2 linked regions of the Lytechinus pictus genome follow. The main gene of each other region encodes a partner of the protein of the gene in region 2 in a complex. Links are inferred from orthologs where the notes say so. Each region holds a gene or a part of one and is shown on either strand. Other genes may lie near its edges. The genes, in order: catenin beta and catenin alpha-2-like.

Region 1 (17,168 bases), on a different chromosome or scaffold from region 2:
TGGCAGGTCTTGAAGCCCTGGACCGCCATACCCTTTCTGTTGTGGGTTCACAGGCTGTTGTTGGTTAGAGTACTGCAATAACAAAAACAACAAAGAAAAAAACCCATAAAATTACAAATATATGCAGATAAATTCCTGGGGAAAAAAAAGAGGAAGTCCCACATACTTATCTTATCACTATGTAACTACAGGTATAGTTGATTTAAGGACTGGAACCTAAGGAAATTTAATTCTGAAATTGGTTTAATTTGAATTCCAAAGTCTTTTGAAGATGTCTGATCCACCTATCAATAAACCGACTGGCGAACATATGGGGGGAGGGCGTTGGAAGGCCATGGACCCACAAAATTTTCACAACCAAGAAAAACAAGAGAACAAAACGAAAGAAAAGGGGGGAAAAAGGGTGAAATATGATACTAGTTTGCAAAGAGTATGTCAAAATCTATAACAACATTTTATTTTTGTATCCAAGGCTGTATCAAAAGGTCAACAATTCTATACGCTAGTAGCTTTTTAAGAAATTACTGCCCCATACTTTTGCTCATTATGCTACTGAATGAACCCATCAATGGCTAAAACCAGGAAGGGTGAGATAAAAAGCATCACTGCATTGGTTCATAGGTCACATCACAATCAAGGGATGTGCCCTTCCACATATTCATTCCTGTACCACACACTCAATTATATCAAGTGCACATGGGCTTTTTTTCAGAATATCTTCTTGTGAAACCACCCTCCTTGCAAATAAGTGATTCTCTCTTACCCTTGCCTGCTCCATGGTGTATAACTTTCTCCTTCAATCTCCGTCAACGAAACTCTGAAAGTAATAAAAAACACAAAGATAATAAGGAAATGATCAAAGTATATACATGTATGCAGACGGAAAATCAGCACGTACAGTAGGCCTATATGATCTGTACATGTACATTATGAATGAAATAAGTTTCTTTTTGAAAAAAATGGGAGCAAAAACAAACCACTAATTATCAGAGATGCCACTAAACATTGGTAATACTGGAAATCACCCAAATGTGTTTTCTATGGCTGAAAATGCACTGAAAAGTCTGAAATCAGACTAGTATAGTCAGAAAAGTGGCATCCCTTAGCAGCAGTCTTTCAGAGTTTTTTTTTAAACATGTAAGATGCTTTTGGTACAATGTACAAGTACAGGTACAACATACAATTAAAATGAATAAAGTTACTAACATGGTTACAGTACAGCATTGAAGAAAAGGAATGCTTGAGTCAGTATCAGAGGTGAATTTTAATTGATGGATACATACAACGTGCACAAAGCCTGTATAAAGTACGCCCTACAGCTTACACAATATCATGTGCAAAGAAAAGAAAACAGTCATGTGTGCACTATCATCAGTGTTTGTAAATGTCCAGTGTGTACACAAGCTATAAAGGGCTTCTCAATACTCCCCATGAGAACAACAAAATAGGCTCAGATCTTCTATGAAAGGTACAAACCACTGAATGCCTATATTGTGAGCCTTTCAATGTAGCCCTCCTATTGTTCAGATGACTCACACTGCATATCTCAAGACATAAAGTACACACTACCATGGCTTATCTATTCTCCACCCATAGTCCGTATTGCTGCGCATGCATAAGGTATGTAATGTATGTACAGAGTACATGTAAATGTACATGAGTACAGTCAAACCTCAGCAAAATGATCTTCCTACATGTACATGTCATTTGGAGATGTGCTAATGTATGCACTCATTCAACCACACAATGTCCCTATTCTGTTAAATACAAATCAGAGTTAATGAGGCAAGAGCTGACATACATGTATGGTCATTGTACCACTCAAAGGGTTACCATACTTGTAGTTCACTTAGAGCAAATATCGGCAATCAAAATTCAGATATTCATATAATAAAGTTCTGACTTTTTACTGCTTTGATCGCAAGTATTACATTTTTGTCTCACATCTGCTGTGCAGGCAAGACACAAATTATTGGAGTACACTACAGGTACGTAGTAAGGAGGAGGCCAACATGTAAACCTACAAGTATGCTGTGTACATGTACATGAGTCATTCACATTGCATCATTTATGGATGATAAAAACATTTAACAAAGAGATTATCATAGGCACAAGAAATGTATTTGTCAAATGAAGCTACATGTAGGTGTAGCCTAGGCCTATGCACATAACATTGTAAATGTAAACTATTACAGAAAATGGCAAAATTTTCAAAGAAGATCTACATTTACCAATTTCTGAAAGCATCTAATAACCATTTTAATTTGATTTTTTTTTGTATATACCGGTAAGCAAACTTTATATTCTGAGATGAATCAGGCTTGAATGAAAATACTGGACAAGTTTGTACTTCCCATTTTTCCAGTATGCCAGTGAATAATGGACTCAGGGTTTTTATTTTTATTTCTTTTCATGGATGAGATATTCTAACGATTGACAGACAGTGGCATGAACTTTTGACATTTGCATAGGAAAACAATGTGTAAATTCACAGAGGTGGATGAATATGCTAAACAAATCAAAAGTGTATTCTACTACGACATTATGTTCAGTAGTAAATATTTCATTGGGGGATGGTAGATAGTGACTCGTGGAGATTTTTAAAAAAATGATTGCAATTACTATGCTTGTAAGTAAACAACCAGAGGACAAATTATGGCTTACAAGTAAACAACCAGAGGACAACTTATGGCTTACATGTAAAGGAGAATGACAGCCCCAAAATAAATCAAACTTGCATGAAAATAGACAAAGTTTTGAGCATTTGAATGTTTAAATCACAGATGCTATGTATGGGGATGCTCCCATTGTCGATGTGACCAAGATTTGTGATGTCACTGAAGTACATCTCTCCCCTTTGTACACTGAAATATACCTCAAAATATTGGTCCGTGACAGATTTCATGAAAATTACCCTCTATTTCAAGTCCTCCACTGAAAAAAAAACACCTCTGGGGGGCCCGTCTTACAAAGATTTGTGATTGATCCGACCAATCGCAACTATGGAAAGCCAGCAAAGTCAACATATAAAATGCATGTTTGTTCAAAAGAGTTCCAAAGAGTTACGATTGATTGGATCAATCGTAAGTCTTTGTAAGACGGGGCCCTGGTCTCTGGATAGACTTGATAAATGTGACAATATAAGTAAAATATGTAGAAAAGTAATTTGGGAGTTGTCCAAGTAGGACATTTCATATTTTTGGTCGCATTGCCAATGGGAATATGTCTAAATCATTATTAAATTAGTGATCTCAACATACATGTAAAATGTTCATAACTTTCTTGTTCTTCTCCGAACCACAAGATTTTACCCAAGTTTTGCCATAATATAATGTTACCATGCCAACACATTGGAACACAATTTCGGAAACAAGTGAAAAGGGGAGTTTCGCACATCTTTACCCCAAGACCTACATGTAAGTGTGTTCCAAATTTCATGAGAATTGGTTAAAAACTAAATTAGGAATTCAAACGGAAATATTTGCAATGAACCGATAGAACACTAATTAGCCTATACCCCCTTCAAACTTTTTTTGGCAGGGTGTGTATGTACAGGTCATATGATTTCCATGTTGTTAATGAAGTCATATTTGCCTCTGTACACAATGTACATGAACTCTTAAACATGTTATGTAGCTGTATATTTGGTCTGCGAACCAATCAATACAGACAGACATGCATTAATGAAATGCTGGCGTCATTAATTAGACCTGTCATCTGGCACATTACAGGCTCATGACAGACTACTCCCCTGTCCATGCTAATTATGTGACAGAGATACAAATAGTCTCATCAATCACGCTCTTAAATATAACCTGATGAATCTTCACCACATATAACTATCAAGGATGGTACTTAGGCATACATGTACTGCATGCCCCACACGTATTGTGTAATTTGATCTGTTCAATTGTTCATCATAATTACTGTGATGACAATTTGAGCAATGATTGGCAGTCTGGGGAGATTTCATGAAAACAAATAGTGATTTTCACTGTATATTATTGTAAGCTACTGCAATCCTTGTATCTGTTTGGCTCAGAGCAAAATTGTCAGTGAAGATCGACAAATTCCATGTACATGTAACACTACACATGATACAACTGTATTGGGTAATACATTGCCATTTCAGTTGTTTATATGACTATGGAGGGCCTACATCTTAGGCCTACAATGTACATCACTAATTGAAGCAATGGCTTTAACCCTCTAGCACCTACAGATTCCTATGCATAATGGCAATTACTCACTGGAGGAAACAATAAAACTGGTAATAAGTAGGCATTGTTCCAAACAAATTGAAATATTTTTTTATAAATTTACTTTTGTTCATTACAAGTTATATTTATTTTTTAGCATAGGACCTGTTGAATAGAATGGTACATGGCAAAGTTCAATCAGATATACGAATATTGACCTTTGGCAATCGTTTGCAGAGCGAGAAGAAAAAAAAAACAAAAGTTCGGGTTTCAGCCGCCCCAGTCCCACGCCTTCAAAAAAATGTAAAGTATCACTGACAGAATACTAAAGTTTTCGCCAGATCTTGAATCAAATATGTCAAATATTAATTCCAACACACATCTAGATGTCACTCTGTGTGATATCCAACGTTTTGATGAACATATAGCAAGGCCCGAGCTTCTTCGGCGAAGTAAGTGGTTTTCCGAGACATGGACGCAGCCATCTTTGCTGATATCGACTGCGCAACAGTCTGGAACTTGCTACACACCGATGCATGTCAATCGGTTTTTCTCTATTATACTCAATAGGAGCATACACTTTTCTATGCAGATCTATGTAGCAGCCAACCTATACGATATGCACACGCAATATTACCACGGTAAATCATAGACAAGAGATACTATAGCGCAAAGAAAACGTACGGGCGGTTCAGTGTGTAATAGGAAGGGCGGTCTCGGGCGGTTCAGGTGCTAAAGGGTTAAAAAGAAAAAAAAATGTATTGCAAAGAGGCTATTGTGTAATATACAGGTGTTCATGCATTGAGTACATGTACATGTAGGCCTACTGTACATGTATATGATGAAATGCAACATGTAAGAAGAAACCTGAAATATACACATGTTAACACTCTACATGTGTTTACATATGTAGGACATGCACAGATATTGTTCACCTAGTAATACATGTAGTACGTTACATGTCACTCAGGGGAGCGTTTCATGAAAATGTTTTGTCCGACAAGTCCTGTTTTATCCGACAGTTACAGTGCCTCTCATCCAATCAAAATCAAGGAAAGTTGTCAGATCTGACAACTTGTCAGACAAAAATGTTGATGAAATGCTCTCCTGGTCTACAAGTTTTGATACAGATTTACCTGTACAAGTACACATTAATTTTATCCTATATGTACATGCAACACTGCAAAATCCAATGGGCTTCAAGCGGTAGACTACATGGGCAAGCATGACATCTTACAGGCAGTCTGGGCTAGGATTTGATTGACATTGCCATGGTGCAATGGAATGTGAAAGTCAGGGCACTGGGGTGTAACTGTTCAGAAGCTTTTCTCCAATGGCACCACACCAGTTGACATGAATGTCACAAGAGTGAAGAGATCAGTGGGCCTACATGTTCAGCTCAATCACGATTCCACTTTCAGAATAAATGCTTGGCCTAGAATTAAGCACTAGTAGCACATGTATTGACAATAATTCAGAATAAATAAAACAATATGGCATCCCCCCTGGAAAATACATAATAATAAATATATAAAATGAAAATATGAATTACAAAGTACATGTACATGTAGTTTAAATAAAAATTAAAGTAAGAATTTCAAAGAGAGTCAATCTCCTTCCCAGCTGTAAAAAGAAACTAGACATTCATAAGAAACTGATTAAAATCCACAGTAATGCGTGCTGGTGTACTGATGTACAACCCATTTTAGCATATTCCACACAGACAAAGATGGAAGTTTGATTGAAACAGACTACATGTACATGTCACTGTCTGGGCAAGTACTAGTGATCATCTGAGAAAATTTGACAGGAGGTGGTTTCAAACCGCCTCGATCACAAGAATCCCCGTTAAATTACGAGAACTTTTTTAGGCTGAAAAATACCCATTAATTATTCCTGCATTCACACCGCCCTGAAACATACCCTTCGGGATAAGTTCCTGAAGTTACGAGCATGCGCAGTATGGTCTGATAAGCAGCAAGGCGCGAAATTCAAAATCACTAGCCCAGGAGCAACCCATGCACGGCGCCGCACCCAACGACACGCTGGGCTAAAAGTTCCCGTAATTTGCTTTCAGACCGCCAAAATACCCACGACCTTGGAAAAATCCCCGCGAAAGTTCTCGTAATTTCGCCAAGTACCTACTATTTATCGGGTATTTTCTTTCGGGGATATTACGCGTAGTTTGCTTTCACACCGCCAAAATACCTGGTATTTTCTGATCGGGGTAAATTTCCCGATCAGAGAATACCTGGAACTGGCGAACTTCGAGGCGGTCTGAAACCACCCAGGGTCATCTTACTCACATACTAGATATTCCATGCTGACGTTTGGCTTGAACTTCTCACCCACAATGCTTACAGTACTTCGTTATCACTGTCTCTTATTTTGAAATGTAAGCCACAAATGTTTCTCATCTTTTTAGCATTGTGTTTTTCATGCGCATACATGTACATGTATACATGTAGGGGGGGGGGGCATCAATTTCACTTCAACATTAAAGAAACAAAAAAGGAATATAATAGCCTAAAGGCTAAATACCTCTCATTTTGTGTATTTCATTTACATGTAGGCTTAATCATATTTTAAACATTTTTTTTCATGCAAATCTAAACCAGGAAAATATTGAAATTTGCATCTGTTGTTCTTATTAGGGCCAATGCTATAGGCCTACATGTACTTGTTGCCACTAACCACTCATGATGAATTTCATTTGATACTGTAGGCCTACAAGCAACATGTATGTATGTGAATACATGTAAGCCTCATGTACATCACATTTTTGTTGAAGACAATTAGACCTCCATCTACATGTTAATAGATAGGGACAGAGATTTACCGCGATCGCGGAAAACGAACCAAATTCACGGAAAAGACCTTTTCAAACAAAAAGTGGCTTTTCAAATGGAAAATCATGGAAAACATATTTTTTCTCAAAATGCACAGAACAGTGCAAATAAATTACTCCAAAATCTCAACACAATATGAATATTAACTGGCCACAAAACCCCATAAAATTGAAAACGATCTCACTTCGCTACAATCACCACAATCCACACATCGTGACTGTTTTCGACTCCAACGTATACCCCTCGCCCCAGCCCCCGCCGGACGGCCTGGGCCGTATCGAAAACATTCACATAAATGCGCACATTGTTTGATTATAACCAACATATACATGTAGAAGGCAGCAATACGGCTGTATGTTGCTGCTCTCTAAGTTCGGTAACAGAACAATATCTCTTGAAATCCAAAATGGCTTTTAGGCGAAAATCATTGACTGCTCAAAACGATGTCAAAAAAAATCCCCAAATTATATATTAATAAAATTTAATTCAACTGCAAAATAATGCTAATAATGTGAAAGGTAATGTTAAATGTGTTTGTCAAAATATTTTGTGCACCTGTATAGGTATGATAAGATTCTAATGCGTTAGTACAGTGGCAGATACAAATTTTGACCAGCACGAGTGTTGTGACATCGCTACTCAATGCGTATTGACGTTCTATGTAAATGGAATTATCACTTTTTCATGTATACAAAGTCTATGGGGGAACAGCATTTCCGTTTTCAAACATGCTGAAAGAAACGGAATGTAAGAATTTCTGAAACGAACAAGGCCATTTTTGAAACGGAAAATCACTGACCCTACATGTACATGTAGGCCTAGATAAAAACAAATGACATAAAATTGAATCACACTGCCATTTAAAAATTCAATGCATAACTGCATCATAGGCCTACATTTTTTTATGCATCTCTATTAGTAAGAGCAAACAGTCAATCCTGCATGTACTCTGATATGTATATTGCATGATCATGAATCCATTAAACAAATATATCGGGCTTTGAGAAAGTATAGTGGAATTATTTATCCGAGGTTGGTCTGGCAATTACTATTTTTTCCCGAGGGGCGAAGCCCCGAGGGAAATATAGTAGTTTTGCCAGTCCAACCGAGGATTAATATTCCCACTATGCTTTCGAATGAAACGCCTGATATATTTGCTTTATATCCTACTTTTAATAATTTATAACCAAAATCTATGCGCTGAGCATGCAAAGTCCTGTTGAATTACCTACTTTTTTCCGAGCCACCGCGCCCAGCGGAACGCAGATTAGTGTCTGCGCTGACGCATCGCGCTGGACTTGCGCGCCCGGGAGAGAGAGAGCGCGCAAGCCGGTGCGCCGAGATATCCAGTTTTGTGAAATAATGACGTCAGAATATTGGTATATCCAAAAATATATCGAGGTCTGACGTCACGCAACATCATAGTTGAAATATATTCGGTCACATGATGCTACTTGAACCAATCACTATACAGGATTTACTCTATGTAGGATATAAATTCATTTGTAACCCACATCAATCTCAGCACTCAGCATCATTATGCTCATGCGAAATGCACTTGGAAGTCCTACAGAAACAAACAAAGTGCATCCTCTCCAATTGCCAGTGCAATAGTGCATGTGTGTGAAGGAGGCAAGGGTGTTGAGATAAACAGCAGGTCCATGTACATACTGTACACCCTCCTATCTCCCATGACACACACTCTGTATTTGGCATTCCACTGGAATGAATACCAATGCTATACAAACACACAAAGCCACTGCTACTCCCACACACAGAGAAGCCACAATAAACATAGTCTTCCATTGAATAAATATTCAGACATAAAGTTGTTCATTATTTAAGGGCTTCGAGTTTCTACATGTGGACCTACATCTTATAGGTCTCACACTTTATACAGTCACATCCACTGTGCACACTACAGGCCGACCTAAATGTAGTTTATTGTATTTTCCCGGTATTCTATATATTCACAAATAAAAATGCAACAAATAACAACAGATGACTGAATAATAGACTACAATTATAAAAACCCATTTACTCTGCTTGCTCACCTATTGGGTGCACAGCAAGTCATTTACCCATTTCCATGAAGGAGAAAATCTTCACTCTAGTCTTTGCCTTGTTGTACAAGATTACCGGAAGTGCATTCCAATTACATATGACTTATTGTATGCGACAAGAGCAATATGATTCTATCCAGTGTCATATAGTAATTGATACAGAGGACAAACTTTCCTAATCCTTTAATTCAAAATGTGCCCAATCTGACGATGAAACAAAATAACAAGGTGGTTCACTAGTATCACCCGATTTCGCGATCAATGAAATATGCAATATGATCTTTTGACCCCTAGATGACATTTGAGCTTATCATGCTCATTAGAATGCATGTGGTATTACCCCCCCCCCTATTACCCAATTATTATTTGTACCAAGTGTAAACAAAATTGATGCAGAAATAAAGAAAGTTGAACAAAATCTTGAAAATTAAAGGATACACATACATGTACCATTTGACCTTTTGACCACTAGATGACCTTTGACCCTCATGATCCCCATCATTCTAATAAGCTCACATGTGGTGTTACCCAAGGTTCATGTGTTATACATATAAGTATGAACATGATTGATGCATAAATAAAGAAATGAGAGCAAGTTGAACAAACACTTGAAAATACAAGGATAGACATATCATAACGTTTAACCTTTTGACCACTAGATGACCTTTGATTTTGACCCCCATTTTTCTCATGGGCTCACATGTGGTATTACCCAAGGTTCATACATGCATGTACCAAGTATGAACATGATTGATGCACAAATAAAGAAATGACAGCAAGTTGAACAAAAACTGCTTGTTTAAGTTTTTCCAAGGAAAGATCAAGGGCACTTCAATATCGTTATCATACAAGATCAAGTACTGGTATTTTTTTTTCTCAAGTTTTACCATATATTCATTACCAAAGGCCTAACCTAATGTTAGCCTAACCCCTACAGCAAAGAATGAATTTAAATTTACGGCTAGTACTAAGCCTAAATTGTTTACCTTGACAGCCAATCACGGCTCGCCATTCAGCGTACATTGTCTATTTCGGTTCTATTACATATTGTTTTGCTCTAGCGTTTTAGTCATTTCATGCGATTTTACTCTGATGCGTGCATGTCGAAAAGCTTCAGTATGTCCGTTTTGAAGGCTATATTACGATTTTGCGGTACCAAACACTTATTTAAAGAATGAATTGAAACAAGAAACTGAAGAGGGTATGGATTAACAGTTGGACACAAGATGTGGGTGCTTCCAACGAGACACATGTACATGTCCGTCTATTCTATATCAAGGTCTCAAAAAGCCTTTACGAGTTGGCCATAATTTTAGACATCTCTGAGACTGACATTATAACCAAACGTATCCATGTACCTCATTCAACAGGAAAAATTAAGAAATATGGATGTTTCTTTCTACTTTTTAACAGATTTAAAGCTAAATGAAAGAAGTTGCAGAAAACGCTCATTTCATGAGTAAGTGTAAAACCAGGCCATATCATACATGTACATGTACCATATCAATCATCCTACACATGTAGATACATGTACTGGGGCCCCGTTTCATAAAGACTTGCAACTGTTGTAACTTTGCCATTATGGCAACTACCATGGAAACTTTGATTCTGATTGGCTGCTGAGCCATGTTACCATGGTAGTTGCCATTATGGCAAAGTTACAACAGTTGCAAGTCCTTTATGAAATGGCCCCAGATCGGGTGGGTGTTTCATAAAGCTGTTCCTGAGTTAAGAGCGACTTTAAAAACGACTGGTGATCTTTTTTTGTTGTAAATGGTAAATTTAATGAATTGGCGATGGTTTAGTGCGTAAGAAAGGTTCACCAGTAGTTCTTAAAGTCCCTCTCAACTTACGAACAGCTTTATGAAACGGCCTCCTGGTACATTTATATAAGCTGAACTTTGTGAAATCACGAAATTGAAGCTGAAAATAATCACACTGAAGTTCGCCAACACAGATGAGTACACATGGAAAGACCCGACAATTTGGTGAAATGTCATTCTTATTTTGCAGCAATTACACAATTTCTTAAGAATCCTTTGGCACCTAATTTTTTATTCAGTACAAAAAGACACTTGGGTGGTCATTTTATAGGATTCTGTACCAACTCATTTTGAAATGGTTACAACTGGCATCTTTAAATCCATACTCAGCTACATGTACATGTAGAGCTAGGGAAGATCTATGAAGCAATTGGTGCACAGGACAACACAGAAAATACACCAGGGCGATGGGTGGATTCGCTCTCTGGATAGCAAAAAAAAAATGCCCATAAATTTCCCCAAATTGAATGTTTGGGTGATAGTCTTTTCTAAAGTCACCCCAAGATCTGCTCAAAGCAATCTAAGAAAGTTAAGAAATCAATTTTATAAAATACAGCACACTGCTTTTTACAGCATAGTTGCTTGTCTAAGTATATGTATGTAGCCCTTGAAATGAAAGAAATAGCCTTGAAAAATTCAGCAATCATCTCCAATGTGGGGGAAAATGGCCCCTAAAAATAAAAATTATTTCCAACCCTGGGACACAAGCTTGTCGAAGAGCAATTAAAAACATTATCAACAGCTCCAAAACCAATTAACATGAAGCCAATCTTTACATTATATGTGCAGACCCACTACAGAGCAAAAATCTAAAGTGTTTTTGTTCCTACGCAAGTGTAAAAACTAATCAATTTTTAAAGGTACAACTAATAATTGATAATTTATTGCACGGGCCGTGCGCAATTCGAGTTCGCCATTTTGGATTTGACGGTGAATTAATATGTGTGGTGTACTGCGAACCGGCTTCATATCACTGATTTTGAGACGTTTACAAGAAAGGGCAAGGAATGAGTCTGTGTCCGATAGTAAGTTTAGACACTGTAGAGTATGCTTAATGTCTCTTTTTTACATGACGTGTTGCCTTTTTCTATTTATCGCCCAATGGTTCGGGTAGCCTAGCTAGGTCAGGTGTAGCGGAGGCCGGAGGGTTAGTGAATAGTGGAGTCTAAAGTTACACAGTACACATATCAGTGAGGTAGGCCTACTAGGTTTTGGCGTGGTTGAAGCCCGAGAGGGGGGGAGGGGGCACTCACAAATAATGGTGGTACGGGGATGTGCCCCTTTGATGACCCCCTTTTTCAGACCCAATTTTCAATTCTCTAGACTCCAAATGACAAAAGTTCAAGGGGAATCCAACCCAAATAAAAACTTGTTTTTATAAAAAAAAGAAAAATCAGACAAGTTGATAGGTGAAAGTTTGAACATTGGACAAACAACAAGAAAGTTATAAAAATTTAAAAAGTTGTAAAATTGGCTGCATATGAGATGTCACAGTGATGTAAGGCAAGGACTACTCTTCCATGTACTCCAATACTTGGCTAAAATGTCATTTTCCCCAAAAGTTTTATTTCAAATTATATTTTTCTTTTATGAGGACATGAAACAATATGCAACCTGGGTTTATTACTGCCCCAGGGGAATGGGTACTTAGGAGAAAACCACAAATCCCTGATAATTAAGTACATGGCCTATGGGAAAGTTGTCCTTGCCCCTTGTCATCATTTACTTACCCAGTTGCCAATTTGAAATCTACATAGTATTAGTGATCTCAGTTTTAAAGCAGCTATAATTTTCTTATTGCTTGTCGGATTTCTTTCAAACGTTCACCATTTTGTTTGATTTATTTTTCTCCTTCCCAACACAACATTTTATGGAAAAGGCTGGATTCCCCTTTATTCTTTAAGTTCAGAAGCAGCCCAGCCCCGGCACATCAAGGCACAAACTGGACCCTCAAAAAAAGGAAAAGTTACACCTCTGTCGCGTTCGTTCTCAGTATCGATCGGCCATTTTGTTTTCAATTTTGACAGGAGAACGAACGGAACGAGACGGAACTTTTCCTTTTTTTAAGCGCTATGGTGCAACGTACCTACACTGCAGTGCACAGTGCCTGCCGCGATCCCGTTCCATGACCATAGACTGTTTTTCACACTTTGCAGTATCTCAAGTTCCCAAGACCCCGTATTCTACCCTTTTAGTCAATTCCTAACATTAGGCTTAGTTAGACCCCCATTTCAGAGTTTCGTGAGGTACGGTACACCCCATCAAAAAATTATTTGAGTCCCCCCCCCCCCAGTTGATGAAGTTAAATAAATAATGACATTAATGTGCATTTGATATGATCAGTTAATACAATCCACCATTTTGATCACCCCCTCTCACATTGATTCACTATTCAGCTCAGATCGTTCACATTCAGATGATTGCAATTGCACTTTCTCATTCATGTCATTTTGCACTCCGCTGTCGCTGCGCTTTCCTCCGCACATCTCCACTCAACCAGTGATCCCACATCTACACTACAGTTATAAAAAATGTTACTTAAACGAACAAAATAACTTCAAATACTCACCTTTCTGCTAGGGCTTTAAAACCCTTGAAAGTTGAAGAGTCCACAACTGTCACACTGATATCTGGTGGTATTTTCTGTTACTTGTACATGAATATTTGAATTTACACGACAGTACGGTACGGAACCACGGGTAGCATAATTTGTACGGTATCTCTGTAAAAATGAATGCACGTATAATCAATTGAAAGCTCGATAACGCTAACCTGTCAATCAATGACGTAAAATCTGCGCACAAAGAATATAGTTCAAATATCAATATCAAATCGCAAACCTTAGATAAATTAATTTATGATATGTGCATCTTTCTCAAAAAATGACAAGAAAAAAGGTAATTTCATTCCCATTCTGCCATTTTAGTATCTTAAATTGCAATAAAATCATATAAACTTCATCAAAATTTGCGGATGGATATATGTCTGGTAGTGCTTCGGTTGTAGTCTGACTTATTCACTTGGAATGCTTTTATTGTTGATGATAAAAGGGGTGCATTGTAGTTTGTACAGGTGGGTAGGTCAAATGACTGATTGATTGACTTGAACGACGAATGACTTTTGCTCTTGGCGGATTCAAGTCATTAGCCATCTGAAGTATTCATTCTTGAAACTGATTCAGAAATTATTTCCTCATATTTCGCCAAAAGTTCGAATTCTGATAGACATGTACGTGGATCGAGGGTTTGTCAGATCTGAAAACCTTCCTTGTTTGGAAGCACTCTTCCTATCATAGCTATCATAGGAACTTGGTAACTTTCTTCTTTTTTTTATTAGGAAACTATATCTATTACAGGGGCGGATCTAGCCTTCGCCAATGGGGAGGGGGCGGATTTATTTTTCCAGCCATATCCGGCCAAACGGCCGCTCGAAGTTGATTTTTGTTTCTTTCTTAGCGGCTTCTTAGCTTTATTCTTATAACATAAATATATGATTATCTCATAATCTAAATATTGCGATCACGAGGCGCGAGCTTAACTTTTTTTAATTTTATGTATATCTTGTTGTAAAATTTGAACATTTTGGGCAATGTTTGTGATCCTGAACAAGATGTGTATGCAACTGCGAGCGCGAAGCCCGAGCAGAAATTTCGAAAAGGGACCTGTACAGTTAATGCTAAGTTGCAATCAGGCCTTAACAGTATTAAGGCCTGCTTGCAGTTAGCCATGAAGACGTTACATAATTCAACAATCAAATAATGCGAGCGCGAGCTGAACATTTTTGACAGTAAGCTTTGTAATCATGAACAGGATAGCTATGATGAGAGCGCGAATTAAGCGCGATCGAGCGGAAAATTTTTGATATTCTGATCTGAAACTGGAAAATTATTTAAATATATAAAAAGCTGCGTATCTCAATAGCATGCATACGCGTGTTTCAGATTTAGACCTAGAATCTCGGCACTCTAAATACACTTTTTCCCATGAAAATCAACAAAGCGAGCGCGAAGCGCAAGCTTAAAATAGGGCCTATTTTATACTCCGATCTGAAAAAAAAAATCAATTTAAGCTCTATATTTCAAGCACTTCGTAGGAAAATTGTGAGGTGGATATGGATCGCACTTAATAAAGAGCTGATACTTTTCATTATTATTTCTTTGAGTTTGACATAATTAGGACCGGGACATTCTAAGGACATTTCGTCATAGCATATGAAAATGATGACTATCTTCCTATTTCTCTTTCTAAGCGCGAGATGAAACTTGTCGATAGGCCTATTCCATTCTGAAAAAAGGGACAATTTAATTATGACTGGATTAAAATCTTATTTTTTTATCTCAATGATTTAATAAGCCTTATTAGAGCGCGAAATCTGTTATGGCCTGAAAACTGAACATATAAATGGATGGTCCAGGCTGGACATATTTATATCTCAATAAAGAGAGTCATTCACAGAGCAAAATGCTGAAAATTTGATCAAAATCGGATAACAAATTAAAGATTTCTGGTGAAACAGTTCTAGGCGTGTCTTTATGAATATTCATTAGGTGGGCAGATGATGTCATATCCCGACTTGTTCTTTTGTATTTTATTGTATGAAATTAGGTTTATTCAAAATTATTCTACCAACAACTAAAACTTTACTTACTTTACTTTATACTTTTATCCAACGATGCTTGTAGGACTATGCCTGATCATCGGATTGACAACTGATTGAGTGCATTAGGTATTTATTGCCGCAACTTATTTCATTATAATGGAGACACATCATTTACACATGTATGAAATGAAACATTTATGATTTCATGTAATAACATAAAAAAGAAAAAAGGTGGAAATGTGACATCATCAGCCCAACTAATGAGTATTCATGCATGATATGCATATAACTGTTTTCATAAAATGTTGATAAACTTTAAAATTCAATAACTTCGTTATTTGCTATCCGATTTTGATGAAATTTTCAGCATTTTGCTATGTGTATTTTACTATATTCATTTAGATATAAATATTTTCAGCCCGGACCATCCCTTCAAGCATTTTTGTAGTTATGTATAAGATGCATGAGTTGATATATTTTTAACAATTAATGCGAGCCGAAGTTTTTGATAAACTGTCATGAAATGGGGATTTTAAGTAGTTGGTTATAAAATTAATAGCCTATTGAGATATATACATCACTCACCAATCAAAATACAGCGTGCAGCGCTAGCTGATACGTTTTGACAATCATACCTGAATAGGGATATTTTGAGAACTTTATGGAATACACGAAAATAATAAGTACCTCACAAATAATAAGTGCCTCGTAACGCGAGCAGAAAATTTTACTATTTAGACCATAAAAATGACATTTTTACAGAGCACTTAAAAAAAATCAATTTGTAAATCAAACAAAATAATGAAAGTTCGATTTCCGAACTGAAATATGTTTTGTAAATTGATTTCAAAACTTGATATCTTAAGCTCGATAATGAGCAAGATATGCAAATCACCTAATTGGCAATGCGAGCGCGAAGTGCGAACGAAAATTTTGTAGAGTGACATGAAAGATTTTTTTTCTTCCAAGTCTTCCGCTCATCTGATTTTATTCACTCGTATTCCTCCTCTTATTTTTCCTCTTCTTTTTTCTCCTCTCTTTTCCCTTCTTTACTACTTTTCTTTCTTACCCTTTTTTGCTCCGCCAATGGGGGGGGGGGGGGGGGCTGCAGCAGAGTTACATTAAAGACCAATCAATAGGAGGCCCCGTGGGAGGCCATAAATGACTAGCGTATCCATATATCCCAAAACCGTTTTTCAGAGAGAGAGAGAGAGAGCCTAAAGGGGGGGGGGGGGGGGCTGGCCGGTGGCCTGTAAAATCATCCCACACTTAATTAAGACAGAAAAACACGTTTTAATCATCAAACTAGTAATACTACTGTTAATGCGTGGCTGTAACGTAACGGGGTTACCATGCGCGACCGAAAAACTCATAAAAATCATGCCTTTTTCAAGATAGGGCACGTTACGTACGTAACGTAATAAGGGTGTCAAAACACTAAAATAATGAAAAAAGGGGTATCTATTTCGCTAGGAAAGTTACGTGTTAATTAATGTCAAATTTTGCGAGGGTAGAAGACTAAAATATTACATAAAGGATATCCTCATATCCACATCTCTCATTTTCTTTCTTTCTTAGTCATTGTTTTAGAACCAATTACAAGAATACATCATAGTACTGATAATAAAATTGAAG
Region 2 (16,899 bases):
TTTTATTGGATTCTGTCCAAACTCATTCTGGGATCGTTACCACAACTAGCATTTATGCTCAACTTACATTTTGTCTGCGACCAGAGATATCGTTGAACTCCATCATGTTCTGTCCAAAACGCTTGAAGTTGTTCATCAGATCTTCTGGGTTCTGTGATCGCAAGATTTTATCCAAATCATCTTCAACCTAGAATCAGAATGAAATAAAACTACATGGTAAAAAATATCATGATGTGGAATTTGGAAAAAAAGGTTGATGCATTTGAAAATACAAGCAACATGTATAAAATGTCTATCAGGGTATTATTAATATCAGCAGACAAATAGATTATTCAACTGAATTTTTTTGGGGGTGGGGTGGAACAACTTTTGGTAACAATTGGACATTTGAACACTTTTACAAATATGAAAACACTGCCTTACAAATCATGGCTGGGATGATAAAACCCTGTGTATCAAAATTTTGAGTGCAGCTTAGAATAGGCTGTATCAAAAAAAAATATAGCAATGGTGGCAGTCTCGTATTGTCTGAAACACAGTCTCCTGATGCCTGTAACGAACTCTTTTAAGGCAAAAGAAGGTTGCTACTCATGTTATGACTCTTAAAACTAACTTTATCTGAGCTATCATCAAAATATTAAAAAAAATTAAGATACAAGGTTTTATCAGCCCAGCCACAAAATGTTTGTTTTTAATCATTATGAATTGATATAATGTAGCGGCCGATACAGAACATTATTTACAAATATCCAAAACGTATTTAAGAATACATTGTTTTGATCGATCTTAAATATAAAATCATTTGATCAAATTTGAAAATCATATTAGATTCTTACAACTCTGAGTGTCTGAAGTAGAAGATGTACATCAACCATGTCGGCTAATATGAGAAGTCTGGTGACTGCAGAGAGCAATGCACGCGCAGCTCTAACCATGGAACCTCTCTTTACGGAAGAACATGGATCCTCTGCAAACTCACTTGATGCTACACGCATATCTTCACCTTTAGAACAGACAAAGTGGAAGGGATTTGTACTCATAAGGAATAGTTTATAAGGTAAATGGAAGGAAAATGGTCTATAGAATTAAAAGTACTTCTGCAAAGTACAGTTCTGCCTCTTTCTGAACAAACATACACACTTTTCTACTTGTTTGTTTATTTTTCCTTCATTAAAGGCATTGATTTGACTTTTGAAGTAAAAAAATCTGAGCTGCAAGGTCCCACTTGTCTCTGGTATCTGTGAGATGACATAAAAATGAAGCCCAGAAAAAATGGACCTGAAAATCGTTATTTAGTGCTTGATAAAAGAGTGAAATATATAGTGACCCAAAATAAACACCTTCTTAATTTCATCCCATACACTAACATGAGTTATATTAGTCTCCTGAGGAGATTGAGTAAATGATGATTTTTCAGATATCTTGAAAGTGTCTGAACAAATTTGATGTTTTTTCTTTCTTCCGGGGTGTTTTTTTTCATTGATATGATCATTACTAAATACAACATGAATCAAAGTTCTGTGTTTTTTAAAAATAATACCTTTGCAATATTAGCCATTGCATTTAAGAGAAAAACATGTTGCACGGTATTAAAAACATATTCAGTATTAAAAACATAATTTTGTGAGTTATTTTAAATAGTATCTTAAACTTAAAAGATATTCTCCTCTTTCTTTCTTTCTTTCTTTCTTTCTTTCTTTCTTTCTTTCTTTCCTTCCTTCCTTTCCTTCCTTTCCTTTCTTTCTTCCTTCATTCCAATAGTTATCTCTTCGGCTCTTCGGTTCAATAACAGCTACTTTTAGTATTGAACAACACTGACCTTTAAGGACCTTAAACAATGAAAAGTTGACGGTATTACAAGCATGTCCCATTTTGATGATGTCATATTTTTACAGCAACTTTCTATTGCGAATCAATATAATGCCCTTTGAATTACTAAGTTACGGAAAACCTCACCGGTGCTTCTGACTTCTTCAACAGCAGTCAACATCTCCCTTTCAATCTCTGGTATTTCATGAGCTATCTCTTCTCCTTGCTCAATGAACTTCTCTGTTGCTTTGATCACAGCAGCCACCAAAACATGAGCTTTCTTAGATCGACCTTTCTTCATACTCGACGGTTTGGTGTTGACGAGTGTAGTCACCTAGTTGAATGACAAAACAAAGACATTAGACCTAAAAAATAAATAAATGTTGCCCTCATCAAACCGACAGTAAACTGCATAAAATCAGGCCCGCTATCTTTATTAATTTTTTTAGCAGACCCTAAATATACAAGTGAAAAAAATTTTGTGAGACAAATTTTGTCAAATTTCAGCGAAGAATTTGCTCAAATTTGTATTCAATGATTTCAGAGGGGAGGAGTACTACATTGCTAGATCTAGCTGATACAATCCTTTGTCTAGGCCATATCACATTTACATTGACATTCACAAACAAAAATAATAAAATTTTACTCGCAATCAAAAAAAATGATTTTAAAATCATATTCCCTCTCTTTTGTGGATGCAAGTCTTTCAAAGGTGAAAACTCACACATAATTTAGTCTTACTACCACTGGCGTAAATCCGTGTTGATGGGTGGGGGGGATGACTGAAATATTTTGGCTTTTTTTTGCAGTCATGTTTTTAGATATGCAAGGAATTGTCATTGATATGTCCACAGTGGCGTACCGTGGGTCACGGTATTGGGGAGGGGGCACCAGCAAAATGTTTGAATCACTGAGTGAGCGCGCTCAGTTGCCAGTTATACTGACCTAATAGAGACATTTTCTGGACAATGTCATTAAACGGATATATGCATCTCACTGATCAAATAATGCGAGCGCGAAGCGCGAGCTGAATTTTTTTATATTCACACCTAAAAAGAGACATTATAATCAAATTTGTGTAATCATGATAGGTACCTGTCTCGCTAAACAATACGAGCGCGAAGCGCGAGCTGAAGTTTTCGTATATTTTGACCCCAAACAGCAAGATTTTGAGGAATATATTTTAGGAATCCATTAAGAGTATGCATATCTCACCATAGTCATCTAATGCGAGTGCCAAGCGCTTGCTGGTTTATAAGAATTACATCTGAACACATGAAACACTTTTTGTAGTCATTGCAATCATGATTATCATACGCATCTCACTAATCAAATATGGCGAGCGCGAAGCGCGAGCTGAAAATTTAGATAATTCAGACCTGAAGTGGGGCATTCTAAGGTTTCTTAGTAGGTATTTCAGGAAGAATTTTCACCAATAAAACAATTATCTCTTGTGATGTTTTTTTTTTCATTTCTTTCGTAAAAAGTGGGGGGGGGGGATGTTTGTACAGGCCATCCCCCCCTCCTCGAAAAGTGGGGGGGATATATCCCCCCCATCCCCCCCGGGATTTACGCCAGTGCTTACTACTTTACCTGTGTAACTAATGGTTCCAACGTCTTCTCCACTGAATATGTTCTAATCTCCAGGTTCTTTGGGTCCCATTTTAGGGTTAGGGTACCCCTTGGAGGTGACATGCTGCCTGACATGTCTGGTAGTTCTGTCTATAAAAACAAACAAGATTCATACAATAATTGGATGAATTTACGTTATTTTTTCCCCAGGGAATCCCAGGTTCCCCTTCATACTAAAATAATACAAATGAAAAGCATGTAGTCTCATGCATGCAAGCTCTCTCAACAGCAATCTTCATCATTTTCAATCTACTTTTTGCATTGGACGGACTGGATGCCAATTCTTTCTCTTTTTTCATGGGAAAAACTTGGAATCATTCATTGATGGGTCAGATTTAGACAACGATAGAGTAAAGAATCGATGTTAGTGCAAACTTTGGTTTATTTGTAGTCGGCTTGAGCCATCCATTTTTTGTGTGTGTTTTTTTAACCTGTGCCCGCCCAGAATTTTTTCTCCAGAAATCGATGGACCGCCAAAATAAAGAAATACATCAGAAATGCAGTGCCACCAAAAACTATGATAAGGGCATTTTTGCAATCTATTCTATAATGCAGAGAATCTTTCGTCAAAAGCCTTTGTCAAAAATTGGCGAATAAAATCAGTGGTGTCGTCCTGGACTCTGGATAAAAAACATATTTTCAATTTTTCATCCGGTCCGAATCTTCGGAGGATCTGATGTCCCTGTCTACCCACTTTCGACACAACCTCTCAGCTATCCATTGTGATTTGACTTGCATTTTTAAAGGAATTGGTGCATTGTAGAAGTAATTGTGAAAATGCCCTTACATGTACATCAACCTTTTTTCAGGCCTTTATTTCATTTTCTAGATGATTTAGACTTACACATGATACTATATTTCTACACAATAAATCAACTACTGTATTAAGTAGAGCTATGAAAATATTAGTACCTGAGCAGGCTTTCTAAACTTTTTTTGCTTTCTCTTCGGCCTGAAGAATAACCTGACATTCAATAAAATCCAAATTTATTGATCGTTTTTTAAACTTGAATTGTTGAAATTTCCTTGTGTGGCAGTGAAAAGCCAGCCAGCACAGTGCAGCACAAAATGCATTCTGAAGCCATGGATATTATAGACTTGCATTATGAATTTCATGGATTACCAGGTATCACTAGCTTAATGCAATGTTTACACATTAGATGAGTATACTACGTGCGCACGCGGTCGCGCACATGCGTGCGACATACAGCTGAATGAGACCTGTCCCATTACGTCTATTAAACATGATCTATTTTGCCACTTTTCCAGAAGTTATAGGCCTATAGAAATTCTTTAAAGTACATTTCATTATATTTTAGGTGTTGAGGATTATTTTGATGTATTATTTTTTGGACAAATTAAGAGCTTTCCAAATTTTTGTTGTCCTATCTACTTGCGAAGTGCGAAGCATCCAATAGTTGTGTACTTTACTCTAGAGTAAGCAAAAAGATGGGCATTTTGGGCTTGGTGTTTATTGAAAGTCTAACAGAAGATGCAAACACGTGACTGATGCTGTCCCATTCACCTGGCACTGCACTGCCTTGCCAAAATGGTTCTAGAAATTATTCGCTACATGTATGTTGAAAGATGGATTTTGTCATCTGCTATTAAAGGACAAGTCCACCCCAACAAAAATTTTGAATAAAAAGAGAAAAATCCAACGAGCACAACACTGAAAATTTCATCAAAAATCGGATGGAAAATAAGAAAGTTATGACATTTTAAAGTTTCGCTTAATTTCACAAAACAGTTATATGCACATCCTGGCTGGTATGCAAATGAGGAGACTATGACGTCATCCACTCACTATTTCTCTTGTATTTTATTATGTGAAATATGAAATATTCTAATTTTCTCCTCATTGTCAAGTGATACAACAATTAATTCCTCCCTGAACATGTGGAATTAGCATTGTTTAATACTATAAGTAGGGACAGTGATTTTCCGTTTCTAAAAATTGCCTTTTCCGTTTCAGAAAATCTCAAATTCCGTTTCAGCATGTCTGAAAACGGAAATTCTGTTTCCCCATAGACTTTGTGTACTGGTACATGAAAAAGTGACAATTCCGTTTACATAGAAAACCAATACGCAATGATGTCAAAATGCTAGCACTGTCAAAATTTGCATCTGCCAATGTACTAACATCACTTTAAAATCCATTTTAATCAAAGAGATTCGAGCTCAAAAACTATTTATAGAAACATAATCAACATTAATAAATCCTCACCTTTCATATTATTAGCATTATTCTATGGTTAAATGAGATTTTATCACTGATTTGGGGACTTTTCGGACATGGTTTTGATCAGTCGACGACTTCCACTTATCCGCCATTTTGGATTTCTTGAATCACCGTGATCATGATATTATGACTGAACGCAGAGGGCAGCAACACACGGCCGTATTCTGCCTTATATGCGGACGTGAGTGTAAACTAATTTAGATACGATCGAGGGGCTCAAGTGTAAATACGATGTGTTGATTGTCATGATTGTTGTAGCAAAGTGAGATCGTGTTTTCAGTTGATATTTGTATTTTGTTGAGGATTTGGGAGTACTTTCTGTTGCTATTTTGTGCATTTTGAGAAAAAACATGTTTTCTGTGATTTTCCGTTTGAAAAGCCACTTTCCGTTTCAAAAGGCCGATTCCGTGAATTCCGTCCGTTTTCCGCGATCGCGGAAAATCACTGTCCCTATATAAGGTTCAGTCAAGTTGGACCTTATTGTCAAATCTATAAAAAATGAAATATTGTATAATTCAAACAATAAAAAACAAAAGAAATAGTGAGTGATGGACATCATCGACCGAGTCACCTAATTATGCATATCACTGTTATGTGAAAAATAAGCGAAACTTTAAAATGTCATAACTTTCTTATTTTACATCTGATTTTGATGAAATTTTCAGCACTATGCTAGTTTGATTTTTCTCTATTTATTGAAGTCAGCATTTTCCTGTGATGGACTTGACCTTTAAAGGGGAAGTTCACCCTGAAGAAAAGTTTGCTGTATAGCAGAAAAAATAATCAAAAATATTGGTGAAGGTTTGAGGAAATCTGTTAAAGATTAAGAAAATTATTTGAATTTTAAGTTTTGGATTTGTGACTTCACAAACGAGCACGTAGCAGCTGCGAAGCTGCCCCATATGTTACATAATATAAAATGCATGAATTTCATTTTTTTTAGTTCCTGACAAATTATTTTTGTTTTCTATCCATGATTGGGTGTGAAATTATTTGTCTTTTGACATATAGTACAAAAGGAACAATAAAAACCGTTTTTTGAGAAAATGAAATTTCATTGATTTTTTACTATTCGCTATATTGTGGGGATGCTGCTCACATATCACGTCACAAATCATATAATGAAAATTCTAATAACTTTTCAATTCTATGATGGATGTTCTCAAACCTTTGGCAATATTTTTTATTATTTTTCTGCTATTTTTACAATCAACTTTTTGTCAGGGTGAACTTCCCCTTTCATCTGCGCAATTTCCTGAAATGTTGCTACTTTATTTAACTAGCATGAACTAGATCTAGGCCGAAATCCTGTCAAATATAAAGGAGTTTAGCGCAGTCAGTCAAAGTTTGACTTGCACACTCTGACAGTCAACAGTGACACAGTCCGTATATTATTAGCAAGGCCTCAGTGACCGTGCATGAAGTTGATCCAGTAGAGTAAAACCCCCAAACGTCGGACAGTTCCAAATATCGGACGAAAATGACTTCAACTCCCTCCCCACAACTACAGGTACCCGCACTGGCGGGGGACTTGCATGCATGAGATACATGAACATACCTGCTATTGAACTGCATACAGTCAATCCAGGTTGCTGCTAAAAAAATATTCCAGGGGTAAAATCTATGTTTTTGACTTGGAAATGTGTGCTGTTGAGGCGCGCGCGCTCATTTTCAGAACGAAGTCGCATGCTGCTGAGCGAAGACGTCCGATATTTAGAGCCGAAAGAGGTCCGTTTGGTAAGTAAATAATTATTATTTACCAATGTCTATATCAAAATTATTGATAGTAATAATTAAAACCGCATTTGCGCAGCTGATATAAGTTATTTTCTCAACAATCAAGCAATTACTTTGGGGTTCAGAGCGCGAGCGCAATTTAAATCGCCGAAATTGATCGCGGCGCACAACCTTATGTGCCCGATATGTGACAAAAAACAAGCTTCTGGTAGTGAGTAAATAATTTCTGTTTACGATATTTTTTTCAATTCTATTTTTTATGACTTAATATTCAACATTTGTAGAGTAGGCCTAAAAAGGAAATACACATGCTTTTTATTGATTTGATGATTGTATTTTTGTTTTGGTCCAATTATGCTTAAGTGTCAGATATTTGGGCACTTTACTCTACAGCAATTGCATTAATTTTGCAAGCCAAGAGCACACATTCATGAACAAGGTTATGTCCAAGACTATTTAACGTTAGACTCAGTCATGTCAGTTCCGCCAAAAATGAGTAGCATCACCATCGGTCACCGCAGACTGGAATAAGTACGAAGTTTTGCATTGTTAAAAACGCGATGGCATAGGCAAATTCTGTTTTCCCTTTTCATGACTGAAACAGAAAAATAAATTATCCATATGTATTTCAAACAAATCGTGTTTCTTTCTTTTAATCAAAGGGTCGTTGCATGATTTCGGTTTTAAAAATAAGGCAAAACTTTTGACAAATTTACAGCACATATTTATACGAATGGGACTGCATACTGCGCCCTGCATCACAAAATGCTTAATTTCACCGCGTATGACAACAAGTATACATACATCTTCAGTTTATCAACACACTGTACTTCATCTTTGAACACAAAACGTGTCAGAAAAATAAATGTTAGACATAATTACCTATTTTCCAATAAATATTCAGTCTTCCAAGTAGAACCGTTAATCGAGAACTGAAGAAGTGGGCCTGTGTAAACGTAACGTACCGGTACGGTACGTTCGTCTATATAAAATAAACGTAATTGATTGTATTGTGGCTGTTCCATTTGATTGTCATATTATCAAACAAATCATATTTCTTTCTTTTAACTAAGGACTCATCGCCTGCCATAAAGAGATAATATGACTTAAGAAACTTTAATATTATATTAGTTAAATAAGGTCTCATTGAAATAATAAAAGTTTTGAAAATTAAAAAAATTAAATCCATTAGTGAAATCACTTTCTTAATTTTCAGAGGGATGTATGATAGTAGAAAGCACACCGAGATATCGCATACCAAAGAAGTTACTCAGCACGAAGTCGCATCATTCATGTCAATAGAATGTGAGGTGTGGAAGAGTGAATTGATTTTGAGAAAAAAAAATGCTTATTGTTCTTTAAAATCAAAACAATAATCGCACTCATGATAACGTCTACGCAGTGAATGAAGGCATATGCGCACATAACGTTGGAAGCGCATATAATTTCGCCGGGCGGGAGAGAAACGCGGGGAGAAACGTAGGCCTATATAGGAAAAAAGATAGGCCCCCATATAGGCCTAATTAAGAAAGAATATAATAATAATATGTCCATTTATATAGCGCAGTTACTATGTGCATATACACAACTGCGCTTTGATACTTGGTATCATATAGACCGATACAATAACTGACCTATTTATTATCAAAATTGTTTTGGTGACTTTTCTATCACTCATTAGAGTCAGTGGCGTAATGAGCCAACAATTTTACGGGGTTAACATGCCAAAAAGGGGAAATATTTCTGAAAAGCTGCGTGGGAGCGGGCAGCTAGCGATCGAAGTGCATGAGCAAGAAAATTTTGACCTTTATTACGAAAATCTTTGAGATAGATTCTGATTTAAAGGATTATATTTCAGCCTCTAAATTTATACCCCTTTTCTTTTCTTTTCTTTTCTTGGTCGTAAAACGTTTTTGAGGGTGAATGGCCCAACCCACTGGGCATTTTACCCGATATTACCTGGGTTGTAACATAAAATACCTGGCCAAACTCTTCAGTATCAAACAATTTCTCACTGATATCAATATGTTTAGTCATCAAGTGGTGCAAAAAAATGGATTTAATGGCTAGCAGGGCTACATCAGGTAAAGTTAGTAAGTAGGTCTGTGTAGCCTAGGAATGTATGTAGATTGGTCAATGTATAGAGTCAAGGCCTCTTTATGTTCTCATTTATCATTGTTTTGTGTTAGTGTACATCACCTACTTAGCATTAGAAAGACCTTTAGAACTTGCTCATGTTGAAATTGTTCTTAGGATGGGGGTAGGAAGAGAGGAGATAGAACTTTGAGAACTTTACTGAAGAGAACTAGAGTGGTACCTTCAAGAAGGTATATAGAAAAGGGCACAGAGTAAGGTAAGGTATCTAATAGTGCTCAACTAAGGAGGGAGGGGGGTGGCTGTGTGCTGCAATCTTAGTATAGCCCCCCCCCCCTTTATTAAGCCATGCCATCTATAAAATTATCTTTCCCTCTCTCTCTCTCTCTCTCTCTCTCTATCTATTTATGTATCTCTTCCTTCTTACATCTGAGAGGCAACAGCCCTAGCAAGATTTTGAATAGGTCAAATGCAAATATACTTAAGTAGTATCTCATTCTTTTATTGTTTCCTCATCCAATCTCATGTATATTTGGTAATTATGTTTGGGGCAATTCTGTTATCCTGATATCTACACATAATTTACATACACCTTTATATTACAATTAATAGGGACCTATTTTGTCATTGCATTCACTGTTGGGCTATATGCAGGTAGGATTTGTATACATCCATATACAGTGAAAATAACATGTATGGGTAACACATTAAAATAGGTGATTGCATAGAAAATAGGCATTTTCAATGCATTTCTTTGTACTAGTGTGAGTGTACAGATATAAAAGAATAGCAAAGTAGCTATTCAAATAAATAAAATACATAGGTCATATAATATAGGTCCCACGAGCCTAATTACATCAGGAGGGCTAAAGATATTCGTTCGACCCAACCCATTCGAATTTTTGTCAATTTGATATTGCTGATTGACAAAAATGTATGAATGTACTCAAAATCTAACACTGATTCTAGAAATGGTAACTACTGAACTTACTTCGCCCAAATTGGGAAGATAAATAAGTGACTTGGAACTATTTTTTGACTGGCGGAATAATTAGGGCTATTTTACTGTTTCAGTTGATGAATTCGATCGATTCATAGTTATCTTCATAAATGGCGATTTATTTTTAAAATGAGCTGGCTACGGTACCCTTTCCTGGTCAGATTTGGAATGTCAGATATATATCCTATCCATTGGTAGCAAACATTCCACCCTCTAATTTCACATTTATTTTTTATGAATTTTTCAAAAGTGCCATTTTAACACACAAGTCTATGGGGAATGTTTTACGCGCGTGACACCTTTAAGTAATATGGGAAATCTCTAGTAGTGGATATGGAATACCTGGCCAAACTCTTCAGTATCAAACAATTTCTCACTGATATCAATATGTTTAGTCATCAAGTGGTGCAAAAAATGGATTTAATGGCTAGCAGGGCTACATCAGGTAAAGTTAGTAAGTAGGTCTGTGTAGCCTAGGAATGTATGTAGATTGGTCAATGTATAGAGTCAAGGCCTCTTTATGTTCTCATTTATCATTGTTTTGTGTTAGTGTACATCACCTACTTAGCATTAGAAAGACCTTTAGAACTTGCTCATGTTGAAATTGTTCTTAGGAAGGGGGTAGGAAGAGAGGAGATAGAACTTTGAGAACTTTACTGAAGAGAACTAGAGTGGTACCTTCAAGAAGGTATATAGAAAAGGGCACAGAGTAAGGTAAGGTATCTAATAGTGCTCAACTAAGGAGGGAGGGGGGTGGCTGTGTGCTGCAATCTTAGTATAGCCCCCCCCCCCTTTATTAAGCCATGCCATCTATAAAATTATCTTTCCCTCTCTCTCTCTCTCTCTCTCTCTCTATCTATTTATGTATCTCTTCCTTCTTACATCTGAGAGGCAACAGCCCTAGCAAGATTTTGAATAGGTCAAATGCAAATATACTTAAGTAGTATCTCATTCTTTTATTGTTTCCTCATCCAATCTCATGTATATTTGGTAATTATGTTTGGGGCAATTCTGTTATCCTGATATCTACACATAATTTACATACACCTTTATATTACAATTAATAGGGACCTATTTTGTCATTGCATTCACTGTTGGGCTATATGCAGGTAGGATTTGTATACATCCATATACAGTGAAAATAACATGTATGGGTAACACATTAAAATGGGTGATTGCATAGAAAATAGGCATTTTCAATGCATTTCTTTGTACTAGTGTGAGTGTACAGATATAAAAGAATAGCAAAGTAGCTATTCAAATAAATAAAATACATAGGTCATATAATATAGGTCCCACGAGCCTAATTACATCAGGAGGGCTAAAGATATTCGTTCGACCCAACCCATTCGAATTTTTGTCAATTTGATATTGCTGATTGACAAAAATGTATGAATGTACTCAAAATCTAACACTGATTCTAGAAATGGTAACTACTGAACTTACTTCGCCCAAATTGGGAAGATAAATAAGTGACTTGGAACTATTTTTTGACTGGCGGAATAATTAGGGCTATTTTACTGTTTCAGTTGATGAATTCGATCGATTCATAGTTATCTTCATAAATGGCGATTTATTTTTAAAATGAGCTGGCTACGGTACCCTTTCCTGGTCAGATTTGGAATGTCAGATATATATCCTATCCATTGGTAGTAAACATTCCACCCTCTAATTTCACATTTATTTTTTATGAATTTTTCAAAAGTGCCATTTTAACACACAAGTCTATGGGGAATGTTTTATGCGCGTGACACCTTTAAGTAATATGGGAAATCTCTAGTAGTGGATGCAGGTAATAACGTAGTTATTACCACGGTAACACCAGTGGGTAGTAACGGGGAAATAGTAGACCAATCTTTCCCCGTTATTACCCGGACCCGATATTACTCCATTTACCCAATATTACCCAGTATGATGTAACCGATATTTCCAGCATTTTAATGATATCACCACCTCATATTACTCTGTTTACCCAATATTACCCAATTAATGTCGGCTCATTAAAAAAACAATTAGTGTCATTAGGGTCATTGAAGCACATTTTTACAACTCCATACTCTAAGCCATATCATCTTATCCTATCCTAAAATCCTACATCCTAATCCTAATCCTATCCTACACCTATCCACCAAACCCTGTCATTTACTTCTATATATTGAGCGAGTTTACAACACTTGACAAATTATGGTTAACAATTATTCAACCCTAAAACATTTTTCTAAAATTAATGTCATGATTATGACTAATATGATATATAAACTACACATTTTTCTGAAAATTTTCTGGGTGGAATAATTGCATAAACATAAACACATTAATTATTACAGCTATATTAGCTAAAATTTTGGCCATTTATTGTAGTAATGAATATTCATGAGTAACTAATATTCCCAGCATTTTCCTGATATTACCATCTGATATTACTCCATTTACCCAATATTAATGGGTTCCGCATGGGTTGGAGGTCTCGTTTCCATCTGAGTCCTATCTGGGCACCATGTGGATTCAAGTATATGTTTTCATCTGGGTTCCATGTGGGCCCATATGGGACCCAGATATCCCAGATAAGAACCGTATGTGATCCAGATACTTTGCTGTCTGGGAATGGAAGCGTTTCAACATTACCCATTACCCCTTATCAACCTGTTTGTAACTGGGTAAAATGTTGGTTTCATCAGGGTGATAACAGTAATTTTTTGGACTTTGAAAATTTCGCTGGGATTGCTGTAAGATTGCTCTTATTACTAAAGTTTGCAATGTTATAACCAATCAAAGTCATTCAACATTACCATTATTACCCCTCATCACCCTGTTGTAACTAGGTAAATGTAGGTTTCATCAGGGTGATAACAGTAACAGGTATCAACAGGAATTATAATTTCGGTAATAACATGGTAATAACGGTAATATTTGGTGTTACTCAAATTTCCGGGTGATATTACCGGTAATAACCGGTAAAATTGGTAATCGGTAACAAATTGCCCAGTGGGAAGCGGGGGATTTTGTTAAAAATATATTCGGCCTACTGACTTTTCATTCTCATCTCACTTTAATCAGTGAGCATATGAGTTTTCATAGAACAAGACTCGACTGTTTAATCCCTATTTGCTTTTTTTTATTTCTTGTTCACATTCTATTCTAAAGTTTACGTTATTGATAATACCCTTATCATCATAATGAAGCAACTTTTAAAGGCTCGCTAACTACGCTCACCACCGCAATGAATTACACTCCTTAATTGAAAAACGATTCGGTTATCATTCTGTCTTCCAACTATGGAAAATTTTCTCGCTCGCTTCGCTCGTTCTTATTTGGATACTAACTGTAGTTCAGTAGTTTATAACACAACAAATGCATTTTTATAGCAAATAAAAGGAAATCGTTAGAGGCCTTTAACTGAAAGATTAAAGGAATATGTACATTGTTAGCCCTATATAGGTGTGGGGGTGTCCCCTCATTTTTTTTATTTTGAGGTCAAAATATTGCTTTCACCCCCCCCCCCACCTCCCCCACTGCTCTTACCGAATTTACGCCAGTGCAATGAGAAGAATGAAATTTCATAACAAAAAAGTCAGTACAAGGTAAAATAGGCTGAGGAAGATGATTAAAAGAATAAAAGGGAGTCACCTTCCAATTGAATCAGTTAGGCCTACTGAATGCCATATCGGCCTAATGGAAATAATAGGCCTACATCACGTCCCGCCCCTCCCCTGCCAAAACATGCAAACTATCATGATCATTAGCATGCATTATTATCATTAATATCACTACGTATTGTTATTGTTGTTGTTGATCATTATTCTTATTGTTGTTATTTTAGGCCCAGTGATGTTATTAAGCTTCTTATTATATCCACAATCCATCCATAATTGTTATCCCTACACTGTTAAAAATACTAGTAATTTTACAAAGAAAAATCGTAAATTTACAGGATGTTTACCTTTTAAAAACAGACGACACAATGATTAAAAAACAACGTATTTTATGAAAATGAAAATGAAAATCCATAATTTATTGTTCGAAATAGACATGAAATGAAATACTCCGAAAATTATGCAGGGATATGTAACGTAGGATCACAAGTTAAATGTAAAACAAAGTAAAATATATTACTCTTTGTAAAAATACCAACGAACTATCTTGTTTTTACGATGATTGCAGTGCATCTATCGTATAAATAGTATTCGTATTTGTAAATTAATGGCGATTTTCATGTTAAATGAATGTTAAAATGATGTTTTTGTGTTGTTGTTTTTTACAGTTATCTATTTTTTTTTCATTTTTACTGCCCATCGTAATTTAACAGTTCATACTGTTTGTTTCATCAATAAGATGAATTGAATTGAGTCCCAGCTGCCAGTAATAATTAATGTTCTTTTTTTTACAGTTTTATTTTTAACAGTGTATTATTTTCACCATCCTGACCGAGTTATATCATGCCGTCTAATTGTTATGTCTATTATAGACCTATCCATAAGATTATAGAGAAAATTGATAAAATTCAGATTTAGGTCTATAAAAGATTGACATTTTAAAATTTTGCTTGTTTTTACGAAATACTAGCGCATAATACGGATAGTATATTATAATCATGATAATGAGATCAACAGATCAAGGCGATGACGTAACAAACTCACTCGATTTTTAATTCGCCGTTTACGAGATATCTTTTTTTATTAAAGAAAGCTGTTGATTTACGTTTCCGCAATAGCATTTTCACATGTTCACGGCGGAATATCACCATTTTCTACATTTATTGAGTAAAAATTCAAAATGCATACAATAAAATACATAATTATATCCACACTCTCGAATGATATGAATACCGAGAAAAGCGAAGCTTAGTGAGCGAGTGACGTCCTCCGTTCCCTCATTTTTCTGTGGTGCCCAGAAATTCTTTATAATTGAAACTTTGTGCCGATCCTCGCAATGGCAGGGCTAGTTGCTTAAATTTAGTAAACATTATTATATCAACATAACATCCATGTTATTTCTTCAAATAATATTCTATGTTCTCGTAAACAAACCTTTGCTCAAAATGAACTTTTCTCCTTTTTTCGGTATCATTTGCGCTTATTTTGTTTGAACTGGCTTTCCTGTGCCTATGTTTTTCAATAAGTAATAACTATTTATCATTCATAATACCGAGTTATTATTGTTCGTCTTCGGTATTACTTTCAAGACTGTACCATTATTTTCATTATTTTTTCATAGACTTTCCAAACCGATATAATTTGTCATTTTGTAACCGACTTTGGGGTACTTTTAGAATTCCACTCATTCTCTTCAATGTAATTGATTTTCAAAATGTCATATCCTTCTTTCATCGTTTTTAGGCTTCTTTGTTATTTATCTGATGAAGGCCTATATTGCCGATTTTTAAATATTTTCCCCCGAAATGACTTGCTTGTCTAAAAAATAATCAGGTTTATATTCTAAGTTCACAACTTCCAGCAAATATTTGGGTAATACCTTGCGCCTTTAGTGACCGTAAAATACATGTATATAGTGGGAAAAATCATTCGGAGGAACAAAGTTGCATCAGTCTTGCAGTTAACCCATTACCTTTACCAGAACCAGGTGCTCCCTTTACAAAGCCTATGAAAATGAATGAATTCAGTAGTCATCGGGTTAATGGGTGTAAATAGTCACACCAGCGAAGCTGACTCCAGACCAATCAAAGCTATATGCATTATTATCAATGACAGACTATCGGTCGGTTAGGAGATGGTTTCTTTTGGTGTTCCTCCAGCATCACTGAGTATGATGTGAAAAAAAAACTGAAGGAAATCATACATACACAAACAATCATAGGCGGATCCAGCTTTTGGCGAAAGGGGGGGGGGGCGCACTGCCGAGCGGCGCACATATTTTTGCACTTCACCGGCGCCATAAAAGAAAATGTTGAAAAAGGGGTAAAATCTGACCCTGTCAAATGCTCTTTTCAAAATGTAGAATTTCCAGTCATGCCATTTTGCATGACCACACGCAGATAATATTTCCGGGGGGGGGGGGCAAGATTCGAAAATTTGGTGCACATCTCACATTTGCAAATTTTTCATAGTTTTCATGAAATGTTAAGGAAATTTTTTTTTTTCACAACAGCAGATCGCGAATGTGCCCCCCCCCTTCCCCCTTGCTGCGTACGACCATTCCCTGAAGTCCACTTAAACATATCTCATTATAACAGAAATATACATCAATTTAAACATATAATCTTTCTAAAACATATATAGAGAGAGATTGAAAAACTTATTAAAGAAAGAAACAAGCAAAAAGTAACACAAATTATGCATGTTATGTGCGACTTCAAAATCTCGTGTATTAACCCTTTTATTGCGATGAGGCCAATACTTTTGTATATTAATAGAGATACAAGTTTTTT

Evidence for each region.
Region 1: the proteins of catenin alpha-2-like (region 2) and catenin beta are in contact, whole or in part, in a crystal structure (PDB 5XA5), measured with the Caenorhabditis elegans proteins. The link is inferred for Lytechinus pictus from reciprocal best matches to the Caenorhabditis elegans genes hmp-1 and hmp-2. Residues at the interface, in NP_505985.1 of Caenorhabditis elegans: Asn20, Val21, Gln24, Gln27, Leu28, Glu31, Val32, Ile35, Glu37, Thr38, Phe39, Pro40, Leu41, Lys42, Thr47, Leu50, Val51, Thr53, Leu54, Ala57, Val58, Asn60, Phe61, Thr64, Gly65, Ala68, Cys72, Leu85, Met99, Gly103; in NP_001252426.1 of Caenorhabditis elegans: Ser47, Ile48, Val49, Glu50, Met51, Met52, Gln53, Pro55, Thr56, Gln57, Gln58, Leu59, Lys60, Ser62, Val63, Met64, Asp65, Leu66, Leu67, Thr68, Tyr69, Glu70, Gly71, Ser72.

The regions. Positions count from the first base shown.
Region 1 is NC_087245.1:36,918,118-36,935,285, forward strand, and holds the start of catenin beta, read right to left. Parts: upstream 8,760-17,168; 5' UTR 8,563-8,759; intron 5,453-8,562; exon of another isoform or gene 5,336-5,452; intron 1,665-5,335; exon of another isoform or gene 1,207-1,664; intron 1,191-1,206; exon of another isoform or gene 978-1,190; intron 818-977; 5' UTR 779-817; coding exon 764-778; intron 73-763; coding exon 1-72. UniProt on the Caenorhabditis elegans protein: Required for cell migration during body enclosure and cell shape changes during body elongation. Plays a role in recruitment of the cadherin protein hmr-1 to adherens junctions.
Region 2 is NC_087256.1:10,651,093-10,667,991, forward strand, and holds the start of catenin alpha-2-like, read right to left. Parts: upstream 8,721-16,899; 5' UTR 8,303-8,720; intron 3,532-8,302; 5' UTR 3,517-3,531; coding exon 3,403-3,516; intron 2,144-3,402; coding exon 1,957-2,143; intron 1,004-1,956; coding exon 837-1,003; intron 188-836; coding exon 68-187; intron 1-67. UniProt on the Caenorhabditis elegans protein: Required for cell migration during body enclosure and cell shape changes during body elongation. Required for proper localization of other junctional components, such as pac-1.